Alligator mississippiensis: one gene and its partners. The protein of the gene in region 3 interacts with the protein of the main gene of each other region in a pairwise test. Links are inferred from orthologs where the notes say so. Each region holds a gene or a part of one and is shown on either strand. Other genes may lie near its edges. The genes, in order: RHOBTB3, EIF4E, UBXN11 and EIF4E2.

The links.
Region 1: the proteins of UBXN11 (region 3) and RHOBTB3 interact in binary tests that used the Homo sapiens proteins (3 or more experiments, as listed by UniProt). The two-hybrid records come from large-scale screens. The link is inferred for Alligator mississippiensis from reciprocal best matches to the Homo sapiens genes UBXN11 and RHOBTB3.
Region 2: the proteins of UBXN11 (region 3) and EIF4E interact in binary tests that used the Homo sapiens proteins (3 or more experiments, as listed by UniProt). The link is inferred for Alligator mississippiensis from reciprocal best matches to the Homo sapiens genes UBXN11 and EIF4E.
Region 4: the proteins of UBXN11 (region 3) and EIF4E2 interact in binary tests that used the Homo sapiens proteins (3 or more experiments, as listed by UniProt). The two-hybrid records come from large-scale screens. The link is inferred for Alligator mississippiensis from reciprocal best matches to the Homo sapiens genes UBXN11 and EIF4E2.

What each region holds. Positions count from the first base shown.
Region 1 is NC_081826.1:239,081,138-239,088,030, forward strand, and holds the start of RHOBTB3 (rho-related BTB domain-containing protein 3), read right to left. Parts: upstream 3,020-6,893; 5' UTR 2,694-3,019; coding exon 2,692-2,693; intron 2,542-2,691; coding exon 2,316-2,541; intron 1-2,315. UniProt on the Homo sapiens protein: Rab9-regulated ATPase required for endosome to Golgi transport. Involved in transport vesicle docking at the Golgi complex, possibly by participating in release M6PRBP1/TIP47 from vesicles to permit their efficient docking and fusion at the Golgi.
Region 2 is NC_081825.1:160,612,206-160,620,139, forward strand, and holds the start of EIF4E (eukaryotic translation initiation factor 4E), read right to left. Parts: upstream 3,014-7,934; 5' UTR 2,938-3,013; coding exon 2,920-2,937; intron 1-2,919. UniProt on the Homo sapiens protein: Acts in the cytoplasm to initiate and regulate protein synthesis and is required in the nucleus for export of a subset of mRNAs from the nucleus to the cytoplasm which promotes processes such as RNA capping, processing and splicing.
Region 3 is NC_081829.1:3,174,445-3,181,534, reverse strand, and holds the start of UBXN11 (UBX domain-containing protein 11), read right to left. Parts: upstream 3,003-7,090; 5' UTR 2,751-3,002; coding exon 2,686-2,750; intron 2,070-2,685; coding exon 1,948-2,069; intron 702-1,947; coding exon 594-701; intron 186-593; coding exon 85-185; intron 1-84. UniProt on the Homo sapiens protein: May be involved in the reorganization of actin cytoskeleton mediated by RND1, RND2 and RND3. Promotes RHOA activation mediated by GNA12 and GNA13.
Region 4 is NC_081830.1:84,413,533-84,421,397, reverse strand, and holds the start of EIF4E2 (eukaryotic translation initiation factor 4E type 2), read right to left. Parts: upstream 3,015-7,865; 5' UTR 2,926-3,014; coding exon 2,906-2,925; intron 1,610-2,905; coding exon 1,495-1,609; intron 1-1,494. Other genes in the region: cytochrome P450 2J5, read right to left, coding at 4,368-4,546, 5,540-5,681, 7,022-7,209. UniProt on the Homo sapiens protein: Recognizes and binds the 7-methylguanosine-containing mRNA cap during an early step in the initiation. Acts as a repressor of translation initiation.

The DNA of each region.
Region 1 (6,893 bases), on a different chromosome or scaffold from region 3:
AGGTGAAATTTAGGCGATGATCTAGATTTAGGTTCAGATCAACCCCATTCTACTGTCTACAATTCAATCAACTGCCTAGAGATTCAATCTGCATCTTCATTCTGGTCTGAAAAGATACCTCTACACCTAGACAGAAGTATCCATGCACTTTCAGAAAAAATTCACATCAGCAATCCTGCCCAAAGAGACAGCTTCAACAGGAAGAGCACTCACTCTGATTAGAGAATTGTATTGCGGCTTGCCTAGTGGTTACAGCACTCTCCTGGGAAGTGGAAACTGTGGGTTCCAGCCCCCTCAAAATGAGGAAGCTCTGCACCCTCCCATTTCCAACTAACAATCTATTATGCAGAAAGCAGCCACCAGCACTACCACTGACACTGGCTGTGTTTGAGAGCAACCCTAATGTCCTGCATCTTGTACTGAACAGTCAGTATGCATTAGGTGTTTGTTCAGGAAGGCACCTTACTTCTGGACCCTGAGTTTATGGAAGTGCCTAAGACTTTTTGTGCAGCCCTGAGTCATGCATCTGAGCCCGAGACAAGCAGGAGTTTTCACATTCCTATTTCCAGCATTTCCTATTAACTAATTCTTGATATCTCCCTGCTTAGCATACTGGCTACCTGGTTTAACTCCTGCATCTAATTTCCTAGGGGGTATCTAGATGCCTAAGCCTGTTAGTTTGGCTCACCTTACTGGGGCAAGGTATGTAATTCTCAGGTGTTGCAGTACCTAAATTGAGGTGCTTATAAGAACAATTTGGATCTGTCCCAAATCACCTGTGACAAGCAGGAGCACCTCTATAATTTCCATAGGCCTATTCCCACAGAAGAGGCATAGTCATCAAATATAAGTCTAAGTAACAGTCCAAAGAGCAAGCTAAAGAAGCCAAAACAGTCTCTTCCACAGCAAGCACCAGCCTTTTGTAGAGAGAACCCAATTATACAACTACCCACTCCAAGTAAGCAAAAAAATACCCACTATATTAAAAACTCTTTATCTGCTCCAGCTGGGAAAGCTTGGAGATAGAAGAGTATAGCACTTCAGGAAACATGGAGGAGGTGTCAAAACAATATAAGCTGCTGCTACTGATATTTAGTTTCTGCAAACCTACAGCCTCCAGAATTGAAAATTTTGCTCTCTCTTCAGCAGCTCAGAAGTTCAAATACTGATAAAGGTCAATCAAACATTTGAAATTTGTGAACACTCTCCAGGACCACACAACCTTGCCCTACCTTTACCAATCCTCCTTCCAGTTTCTTCTATTGATATCCTCCAGTCTCATTATACATCCATTCTCCAACCTTTATTCATATTGAATGGCATTTACGGTGAGGTGTGGTTCCACAGACCAACACATGCAAATACTATGCAAGGTGAAACTTTCAAAACTGGGCCCTCAATTCTAGTTGACCGGGTCATCACACACACAGAGCACAATGGCTACCACTGGAGAACAAGGCATCTGATCGCTGAGTTCTTCCACTCAGAATTTCTACAGAGAAATTTTGTGTGTGCAAGGATTTCAAGACGAGGCTCTAAGTAATATTATGAAACTGAATTTAAGTATATCTGACTAAACAACAATCCTAAAGAACAGTGCTCTGAAATAATCACAAACATTAAATCTGGTGAGAACCCATCAGTTCTCCATTAAACTCACAAGGTCAGTAACAAGTCAATTTTTGCTCAGGATTCAATAAATTTACTTCCAAACAGAAGTGCTGAATTAATGGAACAGTATCAAAAACTGTTTCTCTCTCTTTTTCTGGCTCAGGAATTGCTTTTCAGCATTTGATAATTCAACACATTTAAACAGGAACCAACAAAAAAAAAAAAAAAAAGAATTCATACACCATAACTCCAAATTGCCCCATTACAAAATGTCTCAGTAATTTTCAAAGCTGGACTATTTCTGGGAAACAGATTCCCTCTCCAAGTGTTTCCCTACAGCAGTAAAGCAAAGCATATATGAAAACATTTTGATAACTCAGAGAGAGAGTTTGGTTTTCAAGCCACACAAAAGGTTTCTTGTTTTCTTTTGGATTCTTTTCAATGCAGTTTTTACCAAACAAGCGAGTTGAAAATATTGCCTCCTCATATAGGTCAGTAGGCAGTGGCTTTGCTAAGGGGCTTTTCATCTTGTTGGTTATGGGAGAATATCCTTGGGTGATTATGTGTTTAAAATTGTAAATCCACTTCTAATGGTTTATTGTTTCCAATTGTGAAATTGGCAGACTCAATAAAAACCGCATTGAATTAGGAGCAGCTCCATTTTTTTTTAAATTAAGCTTATAAGTTTCACCCTAGATTCTTACCCAAAGGGGACAGTCATGTACCACCAGCCTGACATTTCCAAACACGCGGGCTTGATACTCAGTGAAAACAGGATTTCCAACGTGACTGGCAGAGTTCAGCAACAAACTGCTTTCAGTCTCTGAAATGAGAGCGCTTCTCCCCAGATAGGTCCAAATCAGACTGGGCTGCTGATTTTCCTCTGAAAAGGCCTCCCTTTCATTGCCAAAGGCTACAATGTGAACGGACCTAAAACAATAAGGAGAAAGTGAGAAACATCTACTGTTAGCAAAGGAGGGAAGAAAAAAAAAGATCCTTTCAAATCAGAACAAGGCTACTAAACGCTTCTCCAGCCTCTTCTTTCAGCCGTTCCTAAAAACCCAGCCATCAACCACATACATGATGTCAAATCCGAGAGCAAGAGGAGAGGAAGGGGGGAAAGAGTCCTGCCGGCATCATAGAGCCCCAACTCCTCTGGCTTTTTATTCCTCCATTTCCACAGGCAGCTTCACGGATGTCACCTCAAGCAGTCGTGCCGCGGGGTGCAGTGCCTCCCGGGGGCCTTCAGTGCTCCGGCCCCTGCAAGTCAGTGTGTGTAACCGCACGTGACAGCGACAGCAGCAGCGCGAGCCCCTGCTCCCGGATCATCTGCTACTGCTGGAGGGGACTGCAGCACCAAGCGCGGCAGCCGCGGGCTCAGCCATTGCCTCCTCCTGACGTCAATAAACCCTACCTAAGAGCGTAATACACGCAATGAGGAGCCTGCACATTTCTGCAGCGCCGACACCGCGCAGCCGGGGCAGCAGAAAGACAAAGGCGCTCCGGCCAAGGCAGCAGCTGACTGCGCTGAGGGAGGCTGCCCAGTGCACTGCTGCTGCTGTGCAGAACGGGGAAAAAAAGCTACATAAATACATGAGCTCACTGCCAGCCAATCTGCGGCCAGGCAGCCCTGCTGAACTGGCTAGAGAGGACCTCAGCAACGGAGGGGGCACAAAGGCGGCGTTGCCGGGTGGGCGGTAATTATCCCCTCTGAATGGTTGTTCCAGCCCTTGTACAATGCACGATCAGTAATAGTATACATGCTCCAAGTGGACGATCGGGGTTTTTTTGAGGCAGGACTCGTGGTAGAGGTGATAATCTTCTATTAGACCAGCTAGATTTTTGGGGGGAAAAAAAACTGCAAAAAACATTTGCAAAAATCTAGTTGGTCTAATAAAACATACCACCTCTACTATGAGGCCGGGTTCCTTGTTGCCTCTAGACCAATACAGCTACAACCTGGCTACCCAATAATTTTCGGAGCAGGTAACTGATATGGCCTATGTACAACACAAGGCACTCTGGGAGTCTTTCAGGTTTGCTGGGGTTTTTCATTATTTATTTAAATTTTCCATATTCCAAGCCAAATTAGCCAAAACAAATTCCAAATCTGAGGGCCAGTCCAGAACCGTAAGTGGCCCTACTACTGGCAAACATCCTCCACCCCCATCTGGGGCTTCTGATGTTCCCAAAACCTTAGGCGGGCATCCTATGTGCAGGCCCAAGCCCAGCAGCTTGGGGTTCGGATGCCCCCAAGTTCTGCTTCCCCCAGCCATTCGGCCCCAAGGAGCAAGCTAGGGAGGGTTTGCTGTCTGTACTTTTTATGACTGCTTCCCTTGAAATACAGAAATGCTTCAACTTGGATGACCCAGTTCTCACTCACTCACTGGAGATACAGTGAGCAATAGAAAGTAAATAAGACTTATTTGCAGACTTGTTTCCTTTTTTTTCAGTGTACAACAGTTTTTCAGCAAAGATAGTAATTTAGAGTTTCCAATATGATAATTTCATATTTAAGACCTGGCACTGCTGGAGAAAGGCAGTCCAGATGAGAAGAGCCTTCACAGGAGACCAGTTGCAGCCTTTTGCTTGTGTAACAGCTTGTTTTTCGACTCCAGGCTGATTGCACTTAGATATCCTCTAGAGCAGTGTTTCTCAACCTTTTTGTACCAGGACCCATTTGTAATCATCCTGACCCAGTGCCCCTCACTCCTGACACGCTGCACCCAGGCCCCCAGTGTGTGGGACAGGGGGGGCCCCCATGTAGCCTGGAACTCAGCCAGCCTGCAGGGGAAAAGCCAGTTTCCCAAGTTTTTCTCCTTTTTAAAGGAGAATCCATTTTTTAAAGTTTGTTGATCCATTTTTTAGGTTTGTTTGTGACCCCTCCGTGTATTCTTGCGACCCACGGTTTGAGAAATGGTACTCTAAAGCAGAGTATTTTTTCTGTAATCTGAAATCAAGTAAAAGAAAAGAGATGACTTTTTCTGAGAAGTACCTTAAATCTGTCACAACCCAAGGGTGTGATTTTGTGTGCATGCGCTTCGGCACTGCTAAATTATTTCCCGCCACAAGGAGCTTTTTTTGCAGGGTGCATTTCTCAGTTGCAAAGAGAAATGCACGGTGCAAAGGAGTTCCCGCCACCCGCATGCAAATTTGTGTCCCACTATTGGCCAGTTCTAAATTATTCCCACGTGGCGGCTAGCAATTGGCTTGCTAGCTGTATAAGAGGCTTGAGCGGTTTCCGCCCAAGTTGGAGGACTCCACAACTATCAGGAGGAGAACTTCACATCTAGTGAAGATCTCTAAGCACTGCGGAGCCTATCGGACCCAGCACGTACCTTGAGAAGGCTATAGGGGTCTGATCAACCTCTGGCCTCTCCCTGTCGCCGAACGATCCCTTGACGAACCCCTTCCCTGCGCGCAAGTTCCACGGAGCCTAGCAAACTTCGTGTGAGTGTATCCAGAGCTCTTTCTCCGAGTTGTTTTCTTCGGTTGACACTGATGGGCTCGCGTGTTTAGAGCCTTCAACCGGATTGGGCTAGAGGTTCGCGTGGAAGGAACTCTTGTCCTCTTCTCTTCTTTTCTGTCTGTAACTGCAACTCAAGCAAGTTTTCCTGCCTGCACCGCGACCATCTACGGTGTAAGTAAAATAATCTTTAATCAACCGCTACATGTCCGTGCCTAATTCTAGCCCGCCGGCCTGCATTCCCCGACCCGCGTGCCAGGGCTGCTGGCCACAGCCCGCTGCGCGCCCCCGAGAGCCTCGGACTGCTCCTGGCCTGCACAGAATCTAAAAAGGTTGAGACCCACTGGTATGAATTAATTAACAAGGAACTCTAGGGATGAGTAACTCTGAAACTACCTCAGTTGTATGAAAAGACCAGAACACAGAAGGGTTACTGGGCCTGAGACTGATATATCTTGTAAATTAAACAGACCCCCAAGACGGGTGTGTAGTGACAGAAGTTATAATTTAGACAGGCTCCAAAACAGGAGACTGAGGGAGTTGGAAAATGGGAGATGGTCTCTCAGGGTGCAGACAGACATTAAACAGGCCCCAATCTATCTCATGGCACTTTATATAAAGCACCATGAGTCAGAGCACCCCCCAGCCCAACGACGTTTGCCTGTTGGATCAGGAGAGGGGTGCTGGAGCCAGCCTGGCACTGGCCCAGGCTCAAGCAGCCTTCCAGGAGGCTGCCAAACCACCCTTCTCCCCAGCCTTGGCCCCTCCCCCAGGGCTGTCAACAAGAGAGCTTCCAGCTGCTGAATGGCAGGGAACTGGTCCCCCTTGCTTCTGCTTCTTGGCCCCCACAGCTATCCTAACTGGGGTACTGGGGGGAGCCGGGTCAGGCCCACAAAGCAAGGGGGCCCTATTGCTCCACACTCCTCCCGTGGCTCTGGCCATTTGGCAGCTGGTTGCTCTGTGCTGGCTGCTGGATGGCTAGAGCTGAGGGAGGAGATGGAGCCCCCTTCCCTGGAGGGCCTGGCCCCAGCCATGAGGCAGGGTTGCCCTGTTCCCCATTCCCTCCCCCCAGCTCTGGCCATTCAACAGCCAGCAGCTCCCTCTTCTCCCCCCTGATAGCCCAGGTGAGGGACTGAGCACCAGCCCAGCTCTGCCCCCCACATGAAAAATTAACCCTGGAGGGAACACAAATTCCCTCAGGCACTCTGTTTTTGAGCTCCTTAATGTAATACATGATTTAACCAGGGTTAATTTTTTGTGCAATCGACCATTTAAAAAGTGCTCTGCAGCCATGCATGTGTGTTAGTCACGGCTGTGGAGCACTTTCAAGGACCAGATCTTGAAATGACTTGAAAAATGTCATTTCTGTCTGCACTTTTCAGGTAGCAGCTAGTGAGCCAGTTGTTAGAGCCAGACAGGGGATCTGTAGAACTTGCTTAATAAAACTTGCTTTTTAGCTTTTCTCATTCATGTATGTCTGCATTTATTGAAGCTGGTGGTCACTACAAGGTAACAGAAGTGGCAAATGAGAAAGAACTTTAAAGAGTTGAGATTCAAACTGAAAAAAAGTTGAATACTGAAAATAAGTGAAGCAACGGAGCCACGTGAAAGGACAAGGGCCACCATAAGTGATCTACCCACAGGTTAAGTAAAAGGACAGCTAGTTATGGAAGTTTTGCAACATCCACCTGCTCTTCTGATATTGGGCAATATTAGCAGAGAACTAACTGGAGGACGTTCAGTACTACCTAGCAGCCACAGGGCCTGAAGAGAAAAGACACAGTGAATTCATCTATCTTGCATACTGTGGAGAAGG
Region 2 (7,934 bases), on a different chromosome or scaffold from region 3:
GCAGGGGGTCGGACTTGATGATCTATTGAGGTCCCTTCTGACCCTAACATCTATGAATCTATGAAAAGAGATGAAGGCAAATTCCAGCCTTGCAGTGGCAGCTAAGATATACGTCTATATCTATATGTAATTTTTCACTATATTTTTCCATGAACAAAAAAGAAAGAGGCTGTAGATATACCTGGAATTTTAGCAGCTATTTTGGCAAAATACCTAGCACCTTGAATGTTATACCTCAACTTAACTGCTGACCTTTTGAATTAACTTATTACAAGAAGAGTCATTTCAGTCATGAAAGTATCATGGGCCTTGATACTATATATACTTGGTATCTAATTTTATACATGCCTATTCAAAACTAGAAAGAGCTAAACAGACCTCAGCAGTTTCAGCCAAGAGTTCAGTTCAGAAAGTGCAATTAGTTCACTATACCAAAGCAACTGGCATGTACATCAAACAAAAAGTTAAAGAATAATGAGCAGAATGAAACCTATTTACGATTTGGGAGATGGAAGGTCCAAGCTGATTTATATAAAATGTTCATGGTATTCACCTAAAATATTTATTGCATTAGGACAAAAGCCTTTTTTGCCCTTACAATTATTTTCTGGAAGCTATTGTTGAACTCTAAAAAAATAACCAAAACGTGTGAACTTTTCTAATAGAATGTAATAGTCCTTTTCTTATCAGACAAAAGTTCATTCTAAGCTGCAAAACTACTACATTTTAAAAATGCAAGATAACAATATTTGGAAAAATGCAAGATAACAATATTTGGAAATACTGTGTAATTCAGTCGGTGCATGTGTGGAGCCAGGCCCTTTGAACCATCTTTCTATAGATACATGATTAGGTGGCTTAATGGACAACAAAAACCCATGTTAAAAATATTTGAGACTCTGTGAAATATGATTTTACATTGTACCTCATAGGTTTTCAAGACTGGAGAACTGCCTTTAAAAGTATTTTCAAGAAAAAGAAACCAACATTGCTTTAGCATCTAGTTCACCTCTCTTCTGGAGGCCTTATCCCCCTACAGGGCAGTGCACTCTTGTCCCACCCACCATCCATATCCTCCTTACAGAAGTTCTCTTTCTCCAACTCCAGAGAAGTGTGGTGACACATGGCAGCTTCATAAAATGCTTCCATTATAACAGAGGAGAAAACATCAGAACTGCAGAAAAAGGAAGGATTCTATGTACCCAGATTCAAATTCTAAAAGTTTCAATAGCAGACATTCCCCCTCTACCTGCTCAAAAGACCCTTCCCACTTTAATCTGAACCACAGCGAAATACATTTCAATTATGTCTATTATGGCAACACTGTCTGGTCTGGACACTTTATAAACACACGCACAGCTGAGATGTCAGGTGGGCCTAGGAAGTTGGGGAAAAAAGCACGTCAGGAATGAAAGAAGGGAGATTAGAGAGGCAGACCCTTTAACTCAGATAGAAAAAGGTAACCGAGAGCGGTGGATAGTTATTTGGTTCTTTAAATTAAATATGCTTGGTCTCAGTTCAGTCTCCAGTGGCTGTCCAGTCATCATTACAAGCAGTGATGTTGACAGTCACTGCAAAGAACTGAACGAACATAACCTTAGAGGGATGGTGACTCCCAAATTAAACACAGAAGACAGTGACTAGGCTACATGGAGAAAGCCACCTGCACTGTCTGTTGCTCCAGTTTTCCCGGTAAGTGAATTACCTTGTTTTTGAGAGCTGGTAGGCAAACACTGTTTGTATGCACTAAATTTTAACTGTCATCTTTTATCTTCCATTTTAACGATATTTTTGTTCTTAGAGGAATCTGTTGCCTGGAAAAAGGGACACAGGCATACACACAGGTGGACCCCCCCCCAATTATTTCACAGGAGTACAACACAAGATCTTTTCAGTGAAGTCTTAAAATGCTTTTCATCTGCAAAGTCGCTGCCCTTTACTTTTTGTTAAATAAGACAACAAACTGATGACAACCCTTTTAAAAGATTGATTTTATTTGACTTGTAAAAAGCAGTCCATGCCTAACGGCAGGCTCCAGTGTGCATACCCAGCCAGTAAAACAGTGACTCCATGCACCTCTCCCAGGCTCCCCTGCCCAGCCCTGTTCGGCCCAATCCCCCAGCTGCAGCAATGGTATAACTAAGATTCCACTGCATGGCGCACAGACAGCAGCAGCGGCTCCTGGCAGGGAGGGCTGAGAGAATATTTAAATTGGGATTTTGAGATAGAAAAAAGAGCTCAAAGGATAAAAAAGGGGATGGGGGGTTAAACCTTTCCAGACCACGGGGCAGCGCTGCCCGACTTCGCTCCCGCAGGACAAGGTCAGCGCGGCCCCTGCGCTCCTGCTAAGAGGCGGGATCCTGCCTGGCGCTCTCCAGCCCGCACCTCCGCCACGTGCGGCCCGGCGCCAGCGCAGACGGAGCGCACACGGCCTCCCCGGCCCAGCGCGCCAATGCGGCGCAGACTAGAGCAGACGAGGGGGGAGGGGGCGGGCGCCCCCGGCCCCTTCCGGCCCCCCCGTGGGCGGAGACCACCCCCACCCCCCCAGGCGCCGGAAGCACCGCGCCGGCCAGGCCGGGGAAGCGCCCGCGTGGGGCCGCCCCGGCTTCCCCGTGGCCGGGCGGGGCGGCAGGAACCGCCGGGGCCTCCGCTCCCCCCTCCCCACCGGCTCACGCGCCCCCCCCCCTCCCCTCCCCTCCCGCCGGCCCAGCGGTGACGGCACAAGTCCCGCGCGCCGCGCCGACCTCACGCGCTCGGAATCCCCCCGCCCCCCCTCCGCCGCCCCCGCTGGCGCCTCCCGTCCCGCTCCCCTCCCCCACGCCCGGCCCGGCCCGGCCCGACCCCGGGACCTCCCCGCGGCGTGGCCGGGCCCGCGGCAGCGAGGGACCGGGCCCGGCCGGGAGGGAATGAAACACTCACCGGTTCCACCGTCGCCATCTTAGATCGCTGCGCTCGCACCAGCGGCGCGGGGCGGGGCCGGGGGGGGGGGGGGGCGGATGGCAAACCAGGTTCAAACGCAATTGGCCGAAGCGGGGGGTCACGTGAAGCGCGCGGCCGTTTGGGGGCCCGCGGCGCCTACGCGCGGAGGAGGGGGAAGGGGCGCGCGGGGCCTTCTGGGACGTGTAGTCGCCGCCGGGGAAGGGGTGGCCCCTTCACCCACTCCCCCTGCCTGGCGCTGGCGGGACCGAGACAGTCACATGGGCCCGGCGCTCCAGGCGGAGCCTGAGGGGACGCGCCCCCTAGCGGCCGGTCGGGGAGCTGCAGGGGCGCGGGCGGAGCCGCCCCCAGCTGCCCGGCGCCCACTGCCCGGGGGGCGGGGCCGTGCGCGCCTGCTCTCACAATGCGGGACTGGCCCCGCGGGCACGGGTTGCCAGGGGCACCGTAGTCATCGTGTTTGTAGGGTAATTTCAACCCTTGCGATCAATAATGGTAAAAGTGCTCAAAATTTACAAATGCAGAACTCTAGCACATTTACAATATTTTTTGAGGAAGCGAATCGATGCAGCATCTGCAAAACCCAAGTCATTCTCAGGGAGTCTTAACTGACTTTTGGGTTTGGGGTTTTTTGGTTTGTTTATTTATTTATTTTGTATTCCAGTCAAATTAGCCAAATAGTTCTGAATCCTCTTGATTGAGCAAACCTCAATCGCATGTGGTGTTACAACCAGCAAGTATCGTCCACACCCCAGACTTTTCAGCCTGGGGCTTCAGAGACTCCCAGATCTGCTGGTGGGCATCCTGCCTGCAGGCCCCAGCCCCACTGGAGGCTGGCCACTGGGAAGCTAGTTATAAGACCCTTATAGGGTGTCCTGTCCGCAGCGCATTGGACAGGGGTGCAGCCTCCACTACAAAATGTCACTTAACTCCACCTTGGGTTGGGCAGCACACCAACACAGTGACTATAGCTGATCTTAGCCCACATACCAGCATTTTCTTATGACTGCTTGTCTCAGAAAATTAAAAAAAAGCTTTAACTTGGATGAGCCAATTCTCACTCACTGGCAACTCAAAGTGAGTATTATAAAGTAAATAAGAAGAAAACTTGTTTGCATATGTATTTGCATATTTTTTCCATGTATGATAGTTTTTCAGCAAATACATTAATTTTGAGCTTCCAGTATAATAATTTCATAGTTAAGATCTGGCAACGCTGGTACGGCCAGCTGGGCTGGGCTGCCCGTGTGAGATGTGGTGCTGTGGTAGCCTGGCTGCTTGGGGAGATCATAGACCTCCCACAGAAGCTGGGCTGGAAGGGGCCTCCTCAGCTCACTCTGCCCAGCCCCCTACCTGAAGCAGGAGTGTCCCAGTCTGAACTGCCCCACACAAGCTGCAGCCTTGACCACTGTTGACCCTGACACAGCACAAAACACTCAGAACCTACCACAGGTAAAGCAGGGCAACCGCACAGCCAATGTCCTGCCTCCATATCAGGTGGTTAATACACATTCATGGGACCCTGGGTAGCAGGGCATGGCCCCATACAGAGGAAGGCAAACCCTGCCCCCTGATCCCCGTGGGTACCAATCTGGCCAGGGGGTGAAATTTGTTCCTGACCCCAAATACACTGATTGCTCTGAGTATGAGCAGCGGAGCAAGAGCCTCTAGACAGGAACCTCCAGCTTTGGTCTCAACAGAAGCAGTGACACACCCCAAAGTCCCCAGCCTTGGCTGTTGCCAACACCCAATGCCTCTAACGGAAGCATAAAAACACCCTGATACATGTAGCAGAAACAGGGGCTGGGGCAACCAGCAAAGTCCAGAAGCATGGGAAATACCCAGAGTAGAGCATAAGCATAGCTACGCCTAGATCATCCCTGACCAGTGGCTGTCCAACCTCTTGAACACTTCCAGTGATAAGAAGTCCAGACTTCCCTAGGCAGTCTGTTCCACTGCCGCACTGTTCTAACAGTGAAGACATTTTTCTTGATATCCAGTTTAAACCTACTCTGCTGCGACGTCAAGCCGTTAGTCCATGTCCTACTCTCTGCAGCTGGTCCAGGAGATGCCAAGGCATTTTTTGGTGATATTTTTGCTTGGATCGACTGTATGGTTGGGAGGGATGATATCAGGCAAGCTTCTGGGCAATGAAGAGGGGCATGTGGTATCCAGAAGCTCATCAAGCATCTCTCCCAACTATGCAATTGATCTAAGGAAAGATGGCACCAAAAAACCCTTGCTCTGCCTGTCTGTAGCAGGGTGTAAAATTCAACCTGAGCCTCAGGTCAGATCCAGACCCTGAGGGGTCCTTCCAGGCCAGATCTGCAGGGCCAGCAGTAGCTGCAGTAGGTCCAGTGGTGACGGCAGACGTCCAAGGGCAGTGATACAGGTTGGGTAGTGGTGGAGCAAGTGAGGGCTGTATCTGCATAGCTCTGACTTGCCTCCTTTATCATTGACAGCCATGTCCATTAGTGCCCAGCATAGGCAACTGGTGCCTCCCGAGTCTGGGGGTGCACCAGATCTCCGACTGGGGGGGTGGCCATTTGCCAAGCCCAGAACCACTAGCAGCGAAACTGGAAGCACGCTTCCACCGGCACTTCCAGTTTTGCAGCTGCTGCTTCCAGGGGGTGCATGGCCAATCTCAGGGGATGCATGTGCACCTGCGTGCACCCCCTACGCATTGCCAATAGTGCTCAGTGACTCCTAATTCTGCAGCAGGCTATGCACCACTATTCCCTCCCCCAGCTTCCAGGAGCCCATTGGACTAACAGTGCACTGCATGAAACATATGGCCAGTTATGTTTGACACCCCTTGTCTACAGCATTTCTAAGCGGCTCACCACTATAGCATCTTAACACCAAGCAATGGGATAAATCTCCATTTGCTGCCTTACAGTTTCTCTCCTCTCCTGGATGAGGGAAGATTTGGCTGCCAGTGCCTTAGAGAGATTTGATTTAAAAAATCTCACAGTCTTCCTGCCATTGTGGCCTGTGACACAGCTGCTCTCTCCCATTCTGAAACTCAAGGCTTACAAGTGTCTGTGTAAAAAGTGGTTGAGATAAATTCACCTCCCTCCATATCTCAAAGATGTCTGCATTTTGTGGACCATCCCTCAAGCAGCCCCATGGAGATTCTGGCATTGCTTCTTGGCAGCTGAACTCCTCCCAAAGGGGCATATTTGGGACAGCAGCAACAGGCAGCAGTTTCGTTTTTCTGAGTTCTACTGCTATGAAGCCAGGAAAAGCCCACAAGGAGTGTGGAAAGCAGTCTCAATCCTGGGTTCCCCCTGTACTGACAAGAAGCAAGCTCCTATGGCTGGGAGCCCCAGGCACCTCAGTTTAGGGGCTCCCAGCTCCGGGTGCACCCCACACACCCCTGGAGCTGGAGGATTGCTGCTGCGGTGATCTCCCCACTCCAGGGGTGCAGGAAACCTCCAAGGTCAGAGGTTCACTGCAGGGTAATCCCCCTGCCTGGGGGTATAGGTAACCCCCAGGATCACCAGGATCCTTTGGCCCCTGGTGGTTTCCCATACCCCCAAACCCTAGGGCCCAGGGTGTGGGAAATTCCCAGAAATCTCCAGACCCTGGGGATTGTGGCTGCTGTGATTCCTAGGGCTCAGAGGTTTTATACTGGGCATGGTGTATCCCTGCAGTTGGGAACCCCACCATCTGATGGGGCTCCCAGCTACAGGGAGGTCCTACTGCACCTGCAAATTAAAGCTCAATAGCAACCAGCTATAAAGTTAGTACACACTTTTGAGTTCTAATTTGATTGCTGGTTGGAGCTTTTTATTGTGTGATAGCTACTTCGCACGCGTAGCTGGTTTCCAGGAAACTACACAATTAACCATTTGAGGGGATCTTACACTTAACCTAAATAAAGGGTGGCTGCTACATTCACCAATTTTGACAAAGTTTAACCAGATTTATCACAAAACTATTCCCTAGAAAAAGTTAAATTTCCATGTATTGTTCATTTACTTATGAAATACAGTGGGGCAACATGTAGTATGGCAGCCAAAATATTCAATGCATGTTTAGGTTTAATATACAAATGTATCTTGTCAGCAAGGATGTTACAGTCAGTTTTTCAACAGCACTGATTAGATTGTATGCAGAATATTTACACAATTCTAAGCATCTCTTCTCCAGAAAGAATATCAGGTTTGCAGAGCTGGGTGGAGAACAAGCTCTCTAGCTTGTTCTCCACCCAGCTCCATGATCACAGAGCTGATCAGGGAACAGGATCTCCAGCCCCTGCCTTGTGATTGTGGAGCTGGGACTCCGCCCTGTCAGGGTCAGGTCCCAGCCCCTTGCCCTGATCAGGTGATCAAGCCACCTGGCTTGGAAAGAGCTGCAGGGGTGGGGCAGGTCCCAGCTCCCTGCCCCAATCCACTGGTGGGGGCACCTAATAGTGAGCCCCTGGCTAGGCGGCTCGCTACTAGTTGCCTTACCAGCAGGTCGGGGTTGGGACCTGGGACCTGCCCTGCAGTTCTTTCCAAGTCCAATGCCCTGATCAGGGAGCTGGGGCTGGGGACTCCTTGCTGCTGGGGCAGGAGGACATTGTTCTTGCCCTGGTTGGGAGACAGCTATCTCTTAGCCCAGCATTCCCTGCCAGTCCCTGGGCTAACACCCAGGGGAAGCCTAGAGCTTCCTCCAGTGGTGGCAGGGGCCCATTGCAGGGCCCCAGGAAGTGAGAGCATTTTGCTGCCATTAGCAGCAGCAAATCTGCTCCTGCTTCTCTACATGTGTAAATGCCTGCCCAGGAGCGTTTACTCTCAAGTAGTTTACTCTCAAGAGTAAACTACTTGAGAGTAAACTGCACCCAATCTAATGCACCCACTTAAACCCATAGAGACAAGAGACTCCAACCCCATGGGGTTTAATCCTGTCAATTCTCAGCCTCTTCACTCACCAGATTCCCCTCTTCACAAGTAAACCTGTAAGTAAACCTACTCGGAGGGCTGTTGATAATCAAACCACAAAACAGGGAAATG
Region 3 (7,090 bases):
TATACTGCCTTAGTCCAAACTAGACCCAAACGTGGTCCTGCCTATTGTGGCTTACACCGTGAACAACCGGGCTGGCAATTTTACCTTCAGCTGGAGTTCTTGGGCTTGGCTCCTAACTTTTTGTTCCAACTTAATAATTTTCTGCATCATGGTGGACATGAGTTCCATGTCAGTAGGAGCTTCCCCTGAAAGCAGAAGTCTAACATAGCATCCAAAAAATCTTAATTCTGAATAATTCAACCAAAAAGTGCCCTTATGATCACCCAGTGCCCATTACATGAGTTGAAGGTTCAGTAAAAGAACCGATTTGCCATTCAGGCTGCATGAATGGATTCCCTGTAAGTGCTGTGCGTGAATCCTTCTGTGGCCATGATTGGTGCATATATGGCCTTTGGAGCAGGCACTGTGTGTGTGTGTGTGTGTTCCTGGGACATCTGTTACGTCATATGCCCAGACTGTCACATCTGGGCATATGAATCGAGGACTAATCACTCTGGGCATGAGTGTTGAGTCCAAGGACTGTCACTGGGTGAGCCACATGCAAGCACTACCTTATGGCTCAGTGACTCTTGTCCCGTGAGGTGCATCATTACCACTTTTGCTCGCTTTTGCTCTTCCCTTTGAACAGGAAGGGGATTCACTTGGCAAGGCATCATTTGTCCTAGGAGGCAGGATGTCATTCAGCAATGCGGCTTCATCCTCTGAGAAGAAAAAAGGCAAAGGAAGAAAGCAAGAAAAAGTTAGGTCAGATCTTTAAATGCACCTTCTCTAAACTCCTCGGATGCCAGGAAATAGGGGATAGATCATTCTATAGGTACCCGGTACAATTCTTTTCCTCTAAAGCATTCACCCCTGCCACCGTTGGTGCTGGGATACTGGGTTCAATGGACCATAGGTCTGACCCAGCATGTACTGGCAAGCATGCCTTGTCATTAGGGAAAGAGAAGCTTAGGGAAAGTGGTGTGACCCCCAACTCACCCCAGGCAAATGCTCTCAAAGGTGCGAGCATCAGGATTTAACCAGGCATCCTGTACCGTACTGCTCACTACAGTCCAAGAGCCAAAGGAAAATATGGTTCTGTTGGAAGAGCAGGATGCGGGTGGACAGGGCTTCACCCAGAAGGTCATAACCCAGGGCATCAGAAGCAGACAAGGTCAGGAAGGAAGCTATGAATCAGACGATGAGAAACAGGGACTGAAATACAGGTGGTCATCGCAACAGAGCCACAAGAAAAGTGGGTCCAGGACAGGTGGTCTGGAGCAGTCAGCTGTAGCTGTAAGGGACCAGGAAGTGGGCGATCACCAAACTAAAGCCACAAGCCAGGAGCTGGCTGTCAGAAGACAGGGATCTAGATTACAGTCTGAAGCAAAGGGGTCAGAATCCAGCTGGGAGCAATTTAGCCTGCCTGCTGCCTTGGCCCCAAGAAGCCTTTAGTCTAAATGAAGATCAAACACCAAACTGTACTGGGGTAGAGACTGTGATGCCAAGGCAAAGCATCTTTTTGTTGGGTGGAGGGGAGGTGCAGATAGACTGAAGGAGGTAAATGGCGGGGCCCAGTTTTAGTAACAAACTGCCAATAGCATTACATGGACAAGGATCATCACTTAGGAGCTGCACAGAAGTGAGTTTCAAGGAGGGACATGAAGAAAAGTATTAGCACTGGGAAAGGGCAATATGATGACACAGCCTAATTAAGAGCTAGTAATCACTGGAGAGATCTAAATTGTTCTAAAGCTTGCAAGGACATGGAAACCACACATCGCTCTGAGCAGCAGCACGTGGGAAGGGGAGAGAAAAAAGGGGGTGGCAACTAGAAAAAATAGAGATTAGTGCACAGGATCTTGGGGCTGGTCCTGCTTTGAGCAAGGGTTGGACTAGGTGTGATCTCCTGAGGTCCCTTCCCACCCTCATTTTCTAGGATTCAAAGATAATAAGATCTTAACTCACCACTGCAGGCACTCTGTTTAGCTGGCTCAGGTTTTTTCCTGCAAGAATAAAGAGGGGATCTCGTACAAACAGAGCAGGCAGCTGAATGATCTGTTGTGTGATCTGGCTTAGAGGTAACAGCCCTGGAAATTACAATGAAATGTGTTGGTACAATACAACTGCCTACGCGCGCTTATCCTTTTGTGGCACTGATCCAAACCCAAGCAGCCCACTTCGCTTTTTTTCCCCTCTGCTATGAGTGTGTTCACACAGCCAGCAAAGGCAGGGCAGCTTAGGAGTTGAAACTGCTGCTTGCCACCAGGGTTAGCTGCTTCAGGCTACAGAAAGGGGAAGGTAAGAGGCGCAATGCACCAGGCTGCGTGTCACATACCTCCTGTAGCAGCATGAAGGATCCCAGGATTTTCCCTGCCGTTAACTAGCTAAGATACTATTCTTATCAGCCCTGGGTTGTAGGGCCTTCTTCTGTAAAATGCTGACTAGGCTGGAGAATCCTTAACTGCTCCTGATTCCAGCAGGCACTGATTCAGCACCCTGAAGGTCAAGGGCAGAGGAAGGCCTCAAAAATGTTTATACCATGCAGCCCGCGACTGTGAAGTGTATTACGAGAGAATCTGTTGGCCGGGAGGCACTCATCCCTCATGCCCCGATTATCACGTTTAAGAGAAGCGCTCAGGATGGAAACTGCAAAAGAAACAATAGCCCCCACGCTGCGTACAGCAAAGGTAACGCCTCATTTACCCCGGACTCTGGAGCTGCAGCGGGACTCTGCGATGCTTTCCCAGGGAGGAGAGAGGGGACGTCATGGCTTACAACTCGGTCCGCCCTAGATCCCGGGGAACGAAGGCGAGGCGACGCCTCCGGGCTGCGGGATGGGATGGAGAGCAGCAGAGTGCCTGGACGCGAGAGAGAGAAACCATGAGGCAGCCGGCGGACCTAGGAAGCGATCTGTCATCCCGCGCGGGGACGGGGAGAGGGGTCGTGCCGGGCGGGCGGGCGCGGGGGGAGTCTCGAGCGTGACCCGGCGTCGTTCAGACAAAGCAGGAGCCTGGCGGAGGCTGCAGGTCCCAGCCAGGCCATTCCTGCTGTGATCTCTGGGTCCGGTGGGACGGTGCGAATGGAGGCCGGGCACGTGGATGCAGCCGTCCTGGACAGTGGGCGCAGGCTGCCCCGGGGGGCGAGCTCCGGCACGACGGCTGCCCGTTGTCGGTCGGCACAAAGCAAAGCGCCGCGGGGACTTTGCCTCCAGAAGCCAGCGCGCTCCACCCAGCCCTCGGCATGTCATCGCAGACCGTGACATCGCCAGGTATCGCCGCGCTGCGCCGTGCCGCGCTGACCTCACGGGACCCTCCCGGGCAGCGCGAGCTCCACGCGCTCGCCCTGCGCGGCTGCAGTTGCATCAGGCGGCATCACCGCGCAACGCGGTGACCTCGCGAGGCGTCACTCTGCCAGCGGTGACATCGGGAAGCGTCGCCAGGACAGGCGGCGACATCGCGAGGCACCACCGTGCCACAGCAGTGACGTCAGAAGCATCGCCATCAAAGCAGTGACCTCATGAGGCATCACCGTGCCACAGCAGTGATGTCAGAAGCATCACCATCAAAGCAGTGACCTCACGAGGCACCACGGTGCCACAGTAGTGACATCAGAAAGCATCACCCTGCGCGGCTGTGGGGTCACGAGGCATCCCCCTACCGCTGCAGTGCTGGCAGGGAGCGTCGCCGCGCGCGGCAGTGACGTCAGCGGCCGCAGCCCCAGGCCTGCGGCGGCGCTTGGGACCGACCCCCGCGGCCCGGCGCCGCCATGTTGTTGACAGGCGGTTGCCCGGGTGACCGCCCGGGCGCGGGGATTGGCTGAGAGGCGCTCACATGGCTGGGAGGCTCCCGTCATGCAGCGCGGCCAGGCCCGGCCTCGTGCCCTGCGGCCCCTGGCTGGGCCGTGCGGCCCGGGGGGAGCGGGGCCGGGGCCGGGCCGGGCCGTGTGTGTCCCCAGGGGCGAGCGTGGGGTCCCGAAACCTGTAGCGGGGCCCGGCCTGTGGGCTGCGCCTGGCCCCGGGTTTCGTCGCCTCCGGAGTTTCGTTTCTGTGAGGAGCCCGCCTCTTTTTCTCGCCCTCCTCCGCTGAAAAAGCAGAAGAAGGAGCGCTGCTGTGGTCGGCCCGGCCCGGCCCAGCCCTGTGCGCTTTGGCTTTTGCCTTCGCCCGCGAGAGGCCCGGTCTCCTGTTTTCTCATTGTTTCTCTCTCTCTCCTTTCCGTCCTTTGGTTTCTTCCTCTCGTCTCGCTCCGGTCTGGGGCGACGGCGTTTCCTTTTGTGTGGGGAAAGCTAAAAAAAACCCCCAACCCAACGACCGTTGACCCCGTTTGGGGGGTGAAGGGCTCCGAGCTTCGCTCCTTTTATGGCCTGCAGCTTTCCACCCAGAAGACTTTCACTTTGATGCTTCCCTTGCAGAAATCATCCGAAAGTACCATGTAAATGAGGCGGTGCAGCAATCTTGGCGCCGGCTGCTGCTTTCTGGCCCAGCGAGCGCGGCTCGGCACGGAAGCGAGCGCAAAACGAAGCCCCCTTAGCTGGGGAGAGGAGGCTGAGGGGACGGGACGGGACGGGACGCTCCAGCTGGTCGGGTCCGACCCCTCTTGTGGCGATGCCTGTGCTCAGATAAGCTTAGCGAGGCCCTAAATCCTCCTTTCTGCTGAAAGCACACCTCGATTTTCATGGGCTCGGAGCTGAAATCTGAGCGTTGCAGCTCGAGTTCGCCTCTCGCTCTCGAGTGGAAACTAAGGAGCTTTGTTATGAGCCGGAAATTCAGTCCAAAGTTTGGCGGATGTTCACGTGCTTCCCAGTGAACCTGGGCCAGCTTTCCAGGGAGCTTGGCCTCGTTCATGGCTTTAGCTGGAACCTGTGAGAAACTCAGTGACTTCATTACACTCGGAGCCAAGTGGGACGTGGCGAGCTGGGGTGTTTTTGCTTTGAGTTTCGACATCCTGAGGAGAAGGCGTGGGCGAGGGCAGAGAAACCGCTGGTAATGTTCACCCGCTCCTTTTCACACCAGACCAGAGGAGTGTCAGCCCCCCCGGCCCTGTGCTCTGGGGGGACCAGGGCTTCCTGGAAACTAGGGAGCTGAGAGGGCTGGTGGCATGGGACCACGGTGGAGAACCTGGAAGGCCCACCCTGGCTGCCATGTCCTCCTGCCTCTCTTCTCAGGAGTCAATCCAAGCCTCCAGATCCCAGGAGCCTCGTTACAAACCCCTCGGAGGATAAACACACCACTACACCCTTCAGCAACAAGCCTTCCCCCGATAACAAACCCTAGCCCAGAGCACTGCCAGCCCCTTCCCCAGCCCCGAATTGCAGTCTAGGGCTCTGCACATGAGCCTCCTTCATGCCCACCCTGGTCACCACCAAGGGCTGGAGGTGCACGGCTCACGCCGAGAAGCTGGGACATTAGCAGGGGCTTTCGAGCAAATGATTTTAGATACTCCAGGTCCCTTCAGCACTGGAGGTCCTGCCACATTTGAACACATGTCCCACCAACACCCCGGATGGGCAGGCGTGACCTAGATCAGCAAGCCCACACGTGATTGGTGAGCTCTTTCTTCCCTTCTCTAGCAGGCAACATAAGAGTTGCTGCCTCTGTTCTGAGAGGAGCAGAGGGGACAGCTTCCACGCACGAGTCAAGTCGCATCCGAGACCCAGAGAAGAATGAACAACGTAAAGGCTGTTCTGGTCGGCACCCTCCTCCTCATGAACCTCATGTCTCTCTGCATGGTAAGAGCAGCCCGCGTGGTGCTGGGGGAGCCCGCACCTCCCCTCCACCACATCTGCATTAGCAACACACGAGCCACCTCCATGAGCTCAGGTGCAGGGTGGGGTCCACAGCACCTTCCTTTCCTGCCTGCTTTGAAGTTATCCTGTAGCGTAGTCTAATTCAATCTATTTTATAGCTTCTTCTCACCCTGGTGTCGGACTGTCATTTTTGTCGCTTGTCTCGAGCCCCGCTCTGTCGCTGTGTCACAGGTGTCCCCTCAGCCCTGCCCTCTGGAAGCATTTTGCCAGCAAGAGCATCTCCCGCCTTGAGCAGTTTATTTGTGACCTGCTCTGGGGACTAATGCATCCGTCCTGTTCTCAGCCAAGCATTCGGGTTGGAATTGGGTTTTTTGGGTTTTTTCGCTTTTTTCCCACCACGCAGTGCAGAGCAACGGTTCTCACTAAGAAAAGTGCGCACGCTTTCCTGTGTGGTTACAGTTATTTGGAAGCCAGCAACAGGGCCAAGCAGCTCAGATGCGACGTTGCAGGCTTTGCAGGATTCGGTGCGTTGTACATATCAAAACAAGAGCTCTCACTCCTACGGCTCGGCAGGCTGAACAACCCGGTGTCACTCACCTGTGGTTTCATCTCTCTGCTCACTGCCTTCCCCGTTAGTGCCAGTAATTAGATTAAGTGTTGGCCTGCCAGAGACCAGACTTCTTACCTCTTCCGGCAGGATACAAGGCACGTTTTTCCACGCAGACTTTTAGGAGGGGAATGGGCGCAAGGGCTGGGCAGTGGAAGGTATTTAGGTGGTGGCTAATTGACTTTGATGGGGGACTCCCCCAATGGCCTTCGAGCCACTGGAAATTTGAAGGGACTCTTGTAGGTGCGCCTAGCGGGGGGCAGGTGAATGGAACAGACCCTCAGCTTGTCTTCACTTTCAAAGCCTCTCCCTGCCCCCTGAGCAGCTCTCATTCAGCAGCTGCCCCAATGCCAGCTCCATCACCCCCTCCTTAATTATTCATGCCTTTGAGTGCTTTCGTGGTCTTTCCTGTTATACCGGGGCGGAGCTGCTCATACCCATCTGTGAAGCCACTGCACTGCTCTCCTGCAGCTCCCTCGTGAAACTCTCCTTTCTCCATTGCCCACACCCTGGGTAGCAACCGTGCTGCTGGGGTGCTGAGACTCCATGCCCAGTCGGGGTGATGAGCTGCTTTATAATATCCCATCTGCCTGGTCTTAGGTTGGCAGGTCTTGGTGGCAGGACAACTGTCTTCTGTTGTGTGTCTGTACCTAATGCAAAGGAGTCTTTGTCCACGATTCATAGTTTCATAGTTCGTAGGGTCAGAAGGGACCTGAGCAGATCATCAAGTCCGACCCCCTGCCATGGGCAGGAATGAAT
Region 4 (7,865 bases), on a different chromosome or scaffold from region 3:
TATGCATGGCATTAGAAAGGCACGTGGTCCTGCCACCACAGAGCATAAAAGGAACAGTTTAGCCTCATTTTCCTAGAAAAATCCCATCCTGGTTAATAGCTTGACACAGATCATTACTTCAGCAGTGATCGGCTGTATTTCAAAGAGGTTATTAGAAATCCAGAGTACTTTCGCTCTTCGAGCAGGAAGGGAAAGTGCTAAGGGGCAGCAGCCCCAGCCCCAGGAAGAATGTCACCCGATAGCAACCCCTCAGGCAAATTTAGGAAGGGCATTAATAAATTCTGGAGCGGCTCCCTTTAACCCTGGGCTGCCAGGACAGTTGCAGCGGTCAAGGCTGTCACAGGCCATGGAATGCAAAACAAAGAAGAGAACGGGAGCTTCTCACAGAGTAGTCTATTCTTCTCTTTTGGGAAAAGAAAAAGCATCTAAAGTGAACTAAACCCCAAATCAAGTGAAATACTCCACCACAATTCCAGTGGCAGGGTTCAGTCATTTAGCTTTCTCAGAGCACTGTCAGCACGCAGGCAGATAAAGACAGAGGGAGTGCCAGGAACAGCCACTGCCTATATAAAAGGCTTCCAGCGTACATTAATGCAGTCGCCAAGAAACAGATGTTACACTAGAATCACCAACCTGACAGAGGTTCCATCATGCAAGGGAGAAGGAAAAGGTCCAAGCTGATCATGCAAAGATGTTACACTAATTAGAGAGCAAGTTTTAATGAGCGCAAGATTAAAGGAGAGGAGGTGGTTTCCCAAACCTGACTGAACCATGCTGTATCTGCTTGTAATCACCCTTCAAGGACAGACTATTTAAACAACAGCACAAAACTTGATCTTCTAAACCAGCAGTTTTCAACCTCGATGCAGCCTTGTGTTAGACTCCAGGCCCCCTTTGAAAACACTGGTTCCTAAGCTCTCACTCATTTTTTTTACTACAAAAACATACCAGAGCAATTATTTTTTGTCAAAAAGCTCACAAAGACCACAACAGAGCAGAAAGATTATGAAACTCTGGGTTTCTGTTTGAAGTGTCTGGTTTTATCTTGCAAATAGCATCTAGGTGTTTGCACACTTAACAGTACTAGCATTGCACAGCACTTCAGGGCACCCTTAAAAGGGCTGCATGGCACCCAGCATGCTACAGTACCCTGCTTGAGAACCGCCATTCGAAACCAAGAGCAAGCTCCCATCTGCAAATACTTCTTGAGATTTGCCTGAAGCAAGTCAAGCTTTGCTTTTTGTTTCCACAAGTTCAACTCACTGGGTGAAGATTTCTAATTGCACCGGTGAACAGGGTACTCGAGCTCAGCTTATTATACTGTACGCTCATTAGCCCTAGTTTGTTAGTACCACACTGACAGAGCAGCAAGCAAAATAACAACATGCCGACATGCATCTTCCTTACAGCAGAGCTACTGGACTGATCAAGCCCCGTCAAGTCCAGCATCTCCAACCGTGCCTTGACGACAGCAGTGGAGCGCACAGCACTCACCTTCCTCTTGGTGCTGCCCTGGGGCTTGTCCCGGTCGTTCTTTTCCTTCTCACCGTCTTTCTGTGTGCTGTTCTCTTCGTTCTGGTCATGGTCCCCACTGTCGTCATCTTTCAAACTGATGAACGTGAGGTGGGAGGAGAGAGAGCCTTAAGTTGCGCAGGAGCAAAAATGTGGCCACCCAACGCGCACCCCATGACACAGAGAGAAGCTGGGAGCCCGACAGAGACTCGTGCAGGGAGGTGCGTTATGAGCCCCGCACCCGTCACAGGTCCCGTGGCCGATACAACGCCCAGGCATCATTTGTTATCCAATACTTAGCTGTACCAATAATGGGTACGTTACCCCGTAGATTCCTATTTAAGACGAGGTCTATTACTCTGTAATTACTATTTAAGACAAGGTATAGTACCCCATAGATTCCTATTAAAGACGAGGTCTACTACCCCATAGATTATTATTTAAGATGAGGTATATTACCCCATAATTACTATTTAAGACGAGGTATATCACCCCCTAGATTCCTATTTAAGACAAGGTATATTACCCCATAGATTATTATTTAAGACGAGGTATACTACACCACAGATTATTTATGACAAGGTATATTACCCCATAATTACTATTTAAGATGAGGTATATTACTCCGCAGATTCCTATTTAAGACACGGTATATTACCCCATAATTACTATTTAAGACGAGGTACATTACCCCATAGATTATTATTTAAAACGGAGTATATTACCCCATAGATTATTATTTAAGACAGGGTATATTACCCCATAATTCCTATTTAAGACGAGGTATATCACCCCGTCGATTCCTATTTAAGACGAGGTATATGACTCCACCGATAACTATTTAAGCCGAGGCACGTTACCCCGTCGATTCCCATTTAAGCCCAAAAATCAGACGCAGGTGAGAAGTGCCATGTGCCGGGTCAGACCGTACGTCCGTCCCGCCACGTCCCAAACCCCGGGACCCCTCGGCCGGCCTCCTGCAGGCTCCGAATCATCTCGCGAGGACGGGGCTCAGGCCCCGGGGCCGGCGGGGCTGCTTTCCTGCCCCTCCGCTGCGCACACCTGCAGGCAGGGTTGCACGGGGCGGCTCATTGGACTCGCTCGCCCACCACCCCTCCTCCCCCCTGGTCCATTAGGTGTTAATTTGTCCCAAGCAGTGAATGCAATCACCAAGGAGGGGGGTGGGGGGGGGCTCAGCCCCCGTTTCTAAAGGCCAATCAGGGGCTGGGTCTGAGCAGCCTCCACACTGAGGCCCAGGAAGGTCCCCCCAAGCCTCCCCCTCCCCCACGCGCGCGTCACACATCGCGCCCCGCCCCCTCCGGACCAACGGCCGCGGCTCCCCCCGGGGGGGCGGGGGACGAGGACGGAGCCGAGGCGGGGGGGCGCGACTCACGCGTCAAATTTGTTGTTCATCCTCGCTCGCCGCCTCCGCCTGCCTCGGCCTCAGGTCCTTCCGCTCCTGCGGGGCCGCCCCCGTCACCCGCCCGCGCGCCACTTCCGGAAGCGGAACCTTTCCGCCGGGGTGCAAGTTTCCGGGGGGGACGCAATAGTCGCCGAGCACATAGTGAGGGAATGTCAAAGCGGCTCGTCCGCCATCTTGAGTGTGGCACCTTCCCTCCCGGCAGCCATATTGAGTGTGGGAGAGCCCTGCCAGGCGCCATTTTGAGTGTGGCAGACCCACCGCGGGAGCCGCCATGTTGGGGGGGGCTGCGTGTGATGTCGCGAGCGGCCGTTGGAGGGCGCCGCTGCCTTCCCGCCAAAACGGGGTGGCCCCAACGGTCGTGTGGGTGCTCGTGGCTTCATGTTCGTGCTCTGAGGGAGCAGGTTCCTGCCTTAGTTGTGAGGCGCTGCGGCCTGGGAATGAAAACCAGCCACGGCTAACAACTGCTCGCCTGGGCGGACGGAAGATTTTGAAAAGGGGGTTGTGGGGAGCAGGGTGCCTCATCCCCTCTGAAAACAACACGCAGCCGGAAGCTTTGACTGATACGCCAGGCTGCACCACGCAGGCGACGATCGCAGCAAAAACCACGTACGGCTTCACTGGACCGAGTTAGAAGCGAGGTGTAGGGCCGTGAAAGAGGAGCTTGGCTACCAGGAGCGGCAAACAGGCCGTGGCATTGGGAGAAGGAAGGACCGTTTGATTGGTGGAACATCACGACCGTGAAGAAAGACGGGGTTATTATTGCCTCTGGAAGGCAGGGTTTAAAAGGGATCGTCTAGATTATAACGAGCCATAAATGATATGGACTCTGTCGCTGCTGGGTTAGAAATGCTGCAGGCACTACCAGGGGTGTATTTGGTAGCCATTGGCGATGTGTAGGGGTACACGTGCGTGCACATGCACCCTCTGGGATTGGCTGTGTGCTCCCTGGAAGCGCCAGCCGCAAATTGGAAGCACGCTTCCGGTTTCGCCGCTGGCTCGGCGATCGGCAACTGGAGGAACCCCCCCGGCTGGAGGTACCAGTCGCCTATGTTGATAGCCATATTGGTCTGCACCGATGCAAGCCATCCCCACCCCTCGGATTTGCCCCCGGTTGCTTGTATTCTTTTTCTCTCTACTAGGGAAATAGTAGTTCTGGACCAGCTCATGCCACCCTCCAGCCGAGCAGCTGTGCCGTGCACCACAAGGACGGGGTGGCTCTTTGGCTTGATGTTGAGATCCGTGTGACAAGCAGGCATGGTTTGTTAGCTCGCTGAAAGGAATTTTAGGGACTCAGCACAAGGATTGTTGGTCAGACAACAACTGTAATGTGTTAAGAGACAAAGGGTTTGCAAAGCAGTGGTTTCCAAATGCCAAGGATGCCATTCGAGAATCCGAAAACCACTTCCCAGCAGGTGTCTGGGAAGACAGAAACTTAACGAGGAACAGCACACATTTTATAGGGTTGGGGCTGCAGAATGAACCCTACGATAGGCTTCTTGTTGATTTCCTTCACTCCTTCCGGCAGCCGAAAGGTGAATGCTCTCAGCAGACTGGAGAACATGATAAAGAGACTTGTTTTTGCCAGCTGTTCCCCCAGACAGACACGGTGTCCTGCAGGGTGAAGAGGAGAATTTATCACACATATCTAATAACCCTTGCAAGTGGAATTATGCCTCTGCCCCCAAGTTGAGGAAGGATACAATTCATTGGAAATAAATGACAATGTTTAATGTCTCAGTATGGCTTGATACTGTATAGATGTAGGGAGCACCAGAGGCACTGATCACAGAAAGTTTAAAAAAACAAGAATACATTTCACCTGTTTGTCTTCTGTCATTGTTTTGTCTCCCATATTCATTCTTGCAACACCACTACAAGGCTGTGCTATTTTTCCATTTTACAGGAGGGAAACTGAGGCACAGAGAAGCTTAGTGACTTGCCCGCAATCACAGAGGAAGTCTATGGTAGACTGGGGAACCCTGGTGTCTTAGTTTAGCACTCTAACAACTGGACCGCCCATCTCCTCTGCCAAATGGGATCAAGTCAGTGTTCCCCGTCTTAGAAGTCATGCCTACGCTAGGAAAATAGGTTACGTTTAGAAGCTACTAATAATGTAACCTGAGTTTCTACACTTCTAAAAATACGTTGATTGGCTGTAGCTACCCCTAGATGGGACTATTATTCTCTGAAAAGTAAGTTTTTACATTCCTTCCAAAACCATTTTTCCTTAAATTACCATGGATATTTGTTGCTCTCGTGTTCAATATCCAGTCTGTTTTTAAATCCTGCTGATTACTTGCTTGCTCTCCATTTAAATGTGATTGATATGAATACACTCAGTATCTGTCAGAATTCAGTGCTGCCACAAGGAAACACATTTTGCTACCACAATTCCAGATAAATTTGCTAAGAAGCTTCAAAGAGCAGTTAGTCTTAGTTTCTTCAAGAAAGAAAGAAATTATCCGCCGTTGGAGATAATACGTTTGTTTTCTGAGCTCAAGACTTTACTGGGTTTTATAAAATAAGATCGGATGAAAGGCTAAATAGATATCAGTCTGTGGAGCAAGTACCCTGCTACACTGGGTGTAATGGGATTAATGTTACCTGCTGAAAATGGCAAAAAGGCTTCTTTGTTCAAAAAGTTTCCACCTTTGTCCAGGAAGTGACTTGGGTTGAACTCTTGAGGGGTCTCCCAATGGTCAGGATCATACAGAACAGAAAATAAGTTGGGATAAATTAAAGTGCCCTAGAAAGAAAGACAACTCCTTAAGAAAATAAAAAAAATATTCCCAGCAGAAACATCCTTGGACCTCCTATGGCTTCCCAATGCAGTCTGTCATATCCCTTTAAAAGTGCCTAATGCAAGAACAAGCTAATTCTTACATGTTCACCCTCTGACACATACTACAGAATAGTTCATTAAAACAATTACTTCAGCAGCAAGGTCTTAAGATTGATTCCAAACAGTCTGAGGACGATAATATACAGCCAAAAATTAGAATGTTTAATTCTGGAAAAATAAACACCCCAGACTGAGTGTGGAACCCAATTCTAAAGTTGCGATCAGTGGAGCATGACCTCAAAGACATCTTCCTCGCTGTCTCCCAAGGAGCTATCTGTAAAGTCTCATCTGCTTGGGAAGGTATAAGGTAAGGAATAAATTTAAGGAATATATTTCTATTGGTAAAATTCCTTTTATTCTAGAATATGTGCCTTTTTCCATTTAACTTATGTATTTTTGCCTTTGGTTTCAATAGTGCCCAACATTTTAGCTCCATGGGTGAGTTGAGTGGCACAGGGTTGGTCTGTGGCTTGGCTCCTGTGTGGGATTGATCTATATGTGCGATCTAAGCACGCTAGCCCAATACTGGGTGTCCCAATCTGGCCAGGTGCCAGCCTGACCTCATGTGCCCCAATCTGGCCAGATGCTGGCTCGCCCCCGCGTGCCCCAATCTGGCCGAGTGCTGGCCCGCCCCCGCGTGCCCCGATCTGGCCGAGTGCTGGCCCGCCCCCGCGTGGCCCGATCTGGCCGAGTGTCGGCCTGACCTCACGTGCCCTAACTTGTCTAAGTGCTGGCCCAACCCGACCCTGTGCACCTGGATCTTGCCATGTACCAGCCCAACCCTGTGTACCTTGATCTGACTGTGTACTGTAGTGATCTATCGCATGCAAGACCATGTTATCTGACCTACAGAATTTGAGGTGGGTCTGGAAATTTGGGAGAAGAGTGGCAATTAACTCTGCCACCATTCTTCTGCTGCCAAATTTTCAGACCTGTGGGGAGCCTTGTGAGCTGTATGACAGCTTTGTGGGCTGCCTGCGGGCTAGAGGTTGAAGGCAGAAGAAAGGTAAAGTTGTGCAGGAGTTAACCTTTACTTACTGAGGTCCACAACCTATCCTGCAACCTATCCAATACCTATTTTTAATAAAGAGTTTTTTTTACAAATTGTTCAACCTTACTTGTAAACCATTCCTGCACAAAACACAGAAAAAACATCTATTGTTTAAAAAGGTAAGTGGGAGTTATTACTGTTTCAAATTTTGCCCAGAGAACACCTCTGAAGTGTGGTAATATACTTAGCATACCTTACTAACTGGAAAGCCCTGCACAGTTGTATCCTTGGCACACTTTCGTATAACCCCTATTGCACTTATGCTGCTATACCGCAGAACTTCATGTAAAACTGCATTTGTGTAGGGTAGGATCATTCGGTCCTCATATCGAATTTCACGAGATGAGCTAATAGTAGTGTCCAGTTCTTTTTGGACTCGTTCTGCAGGGAGAAATTGTCAGAAACCAAAATTTAAGAAATTGGTCAAAGCATGGACTCTGGCTTCTCAAAATAAGTCACTGTAAATTGCAGGATTAAATCAGATTAATTCCTAGTTCATACATACAACTTTGTCCCTTATTATGCTCAGGAGGCTGGAGGCCAAGGCCCCTTCCCTGCATTCTCCCCAGTGGGGTGGATGAGATGGGCTGGTCATATTCCCTCTGTCAACTTGCCCTGGGTTCCCCTGTCAGGGATGGGGACCCTTTGTTGCTCTAAAGTTTCTGCTTTTTTATTTTTTTCCCTCCTGATGACTCTTCATCCGTGGCTATCACTGATTGGTCTCTGTGATCATCATACTGTCTACGTTCTGTCCTGTCAGGTTATTCCTTTGTTTCACAGGCCCATCACATGCACGCATCCTAATTTGGGCTTTTCCAATGTCCTCCTAATTTTGTCTGTTCCCCCAAAACCAGAACTCTCAGGGCCCCCACCCTCAGGCCTTGTGAGCTGGTGCCACCTTATCTCATGTTATGGAACAGTGTCATATATGCCCACAATTTCCCAGGCTATGTCTAGCCATTGACCTTGTTGTCTTGACACCCTGTCTGCCTTAAAGGCTGTGAGAACTGTGTTACTGTGTGATCGGGCCTTTAAAA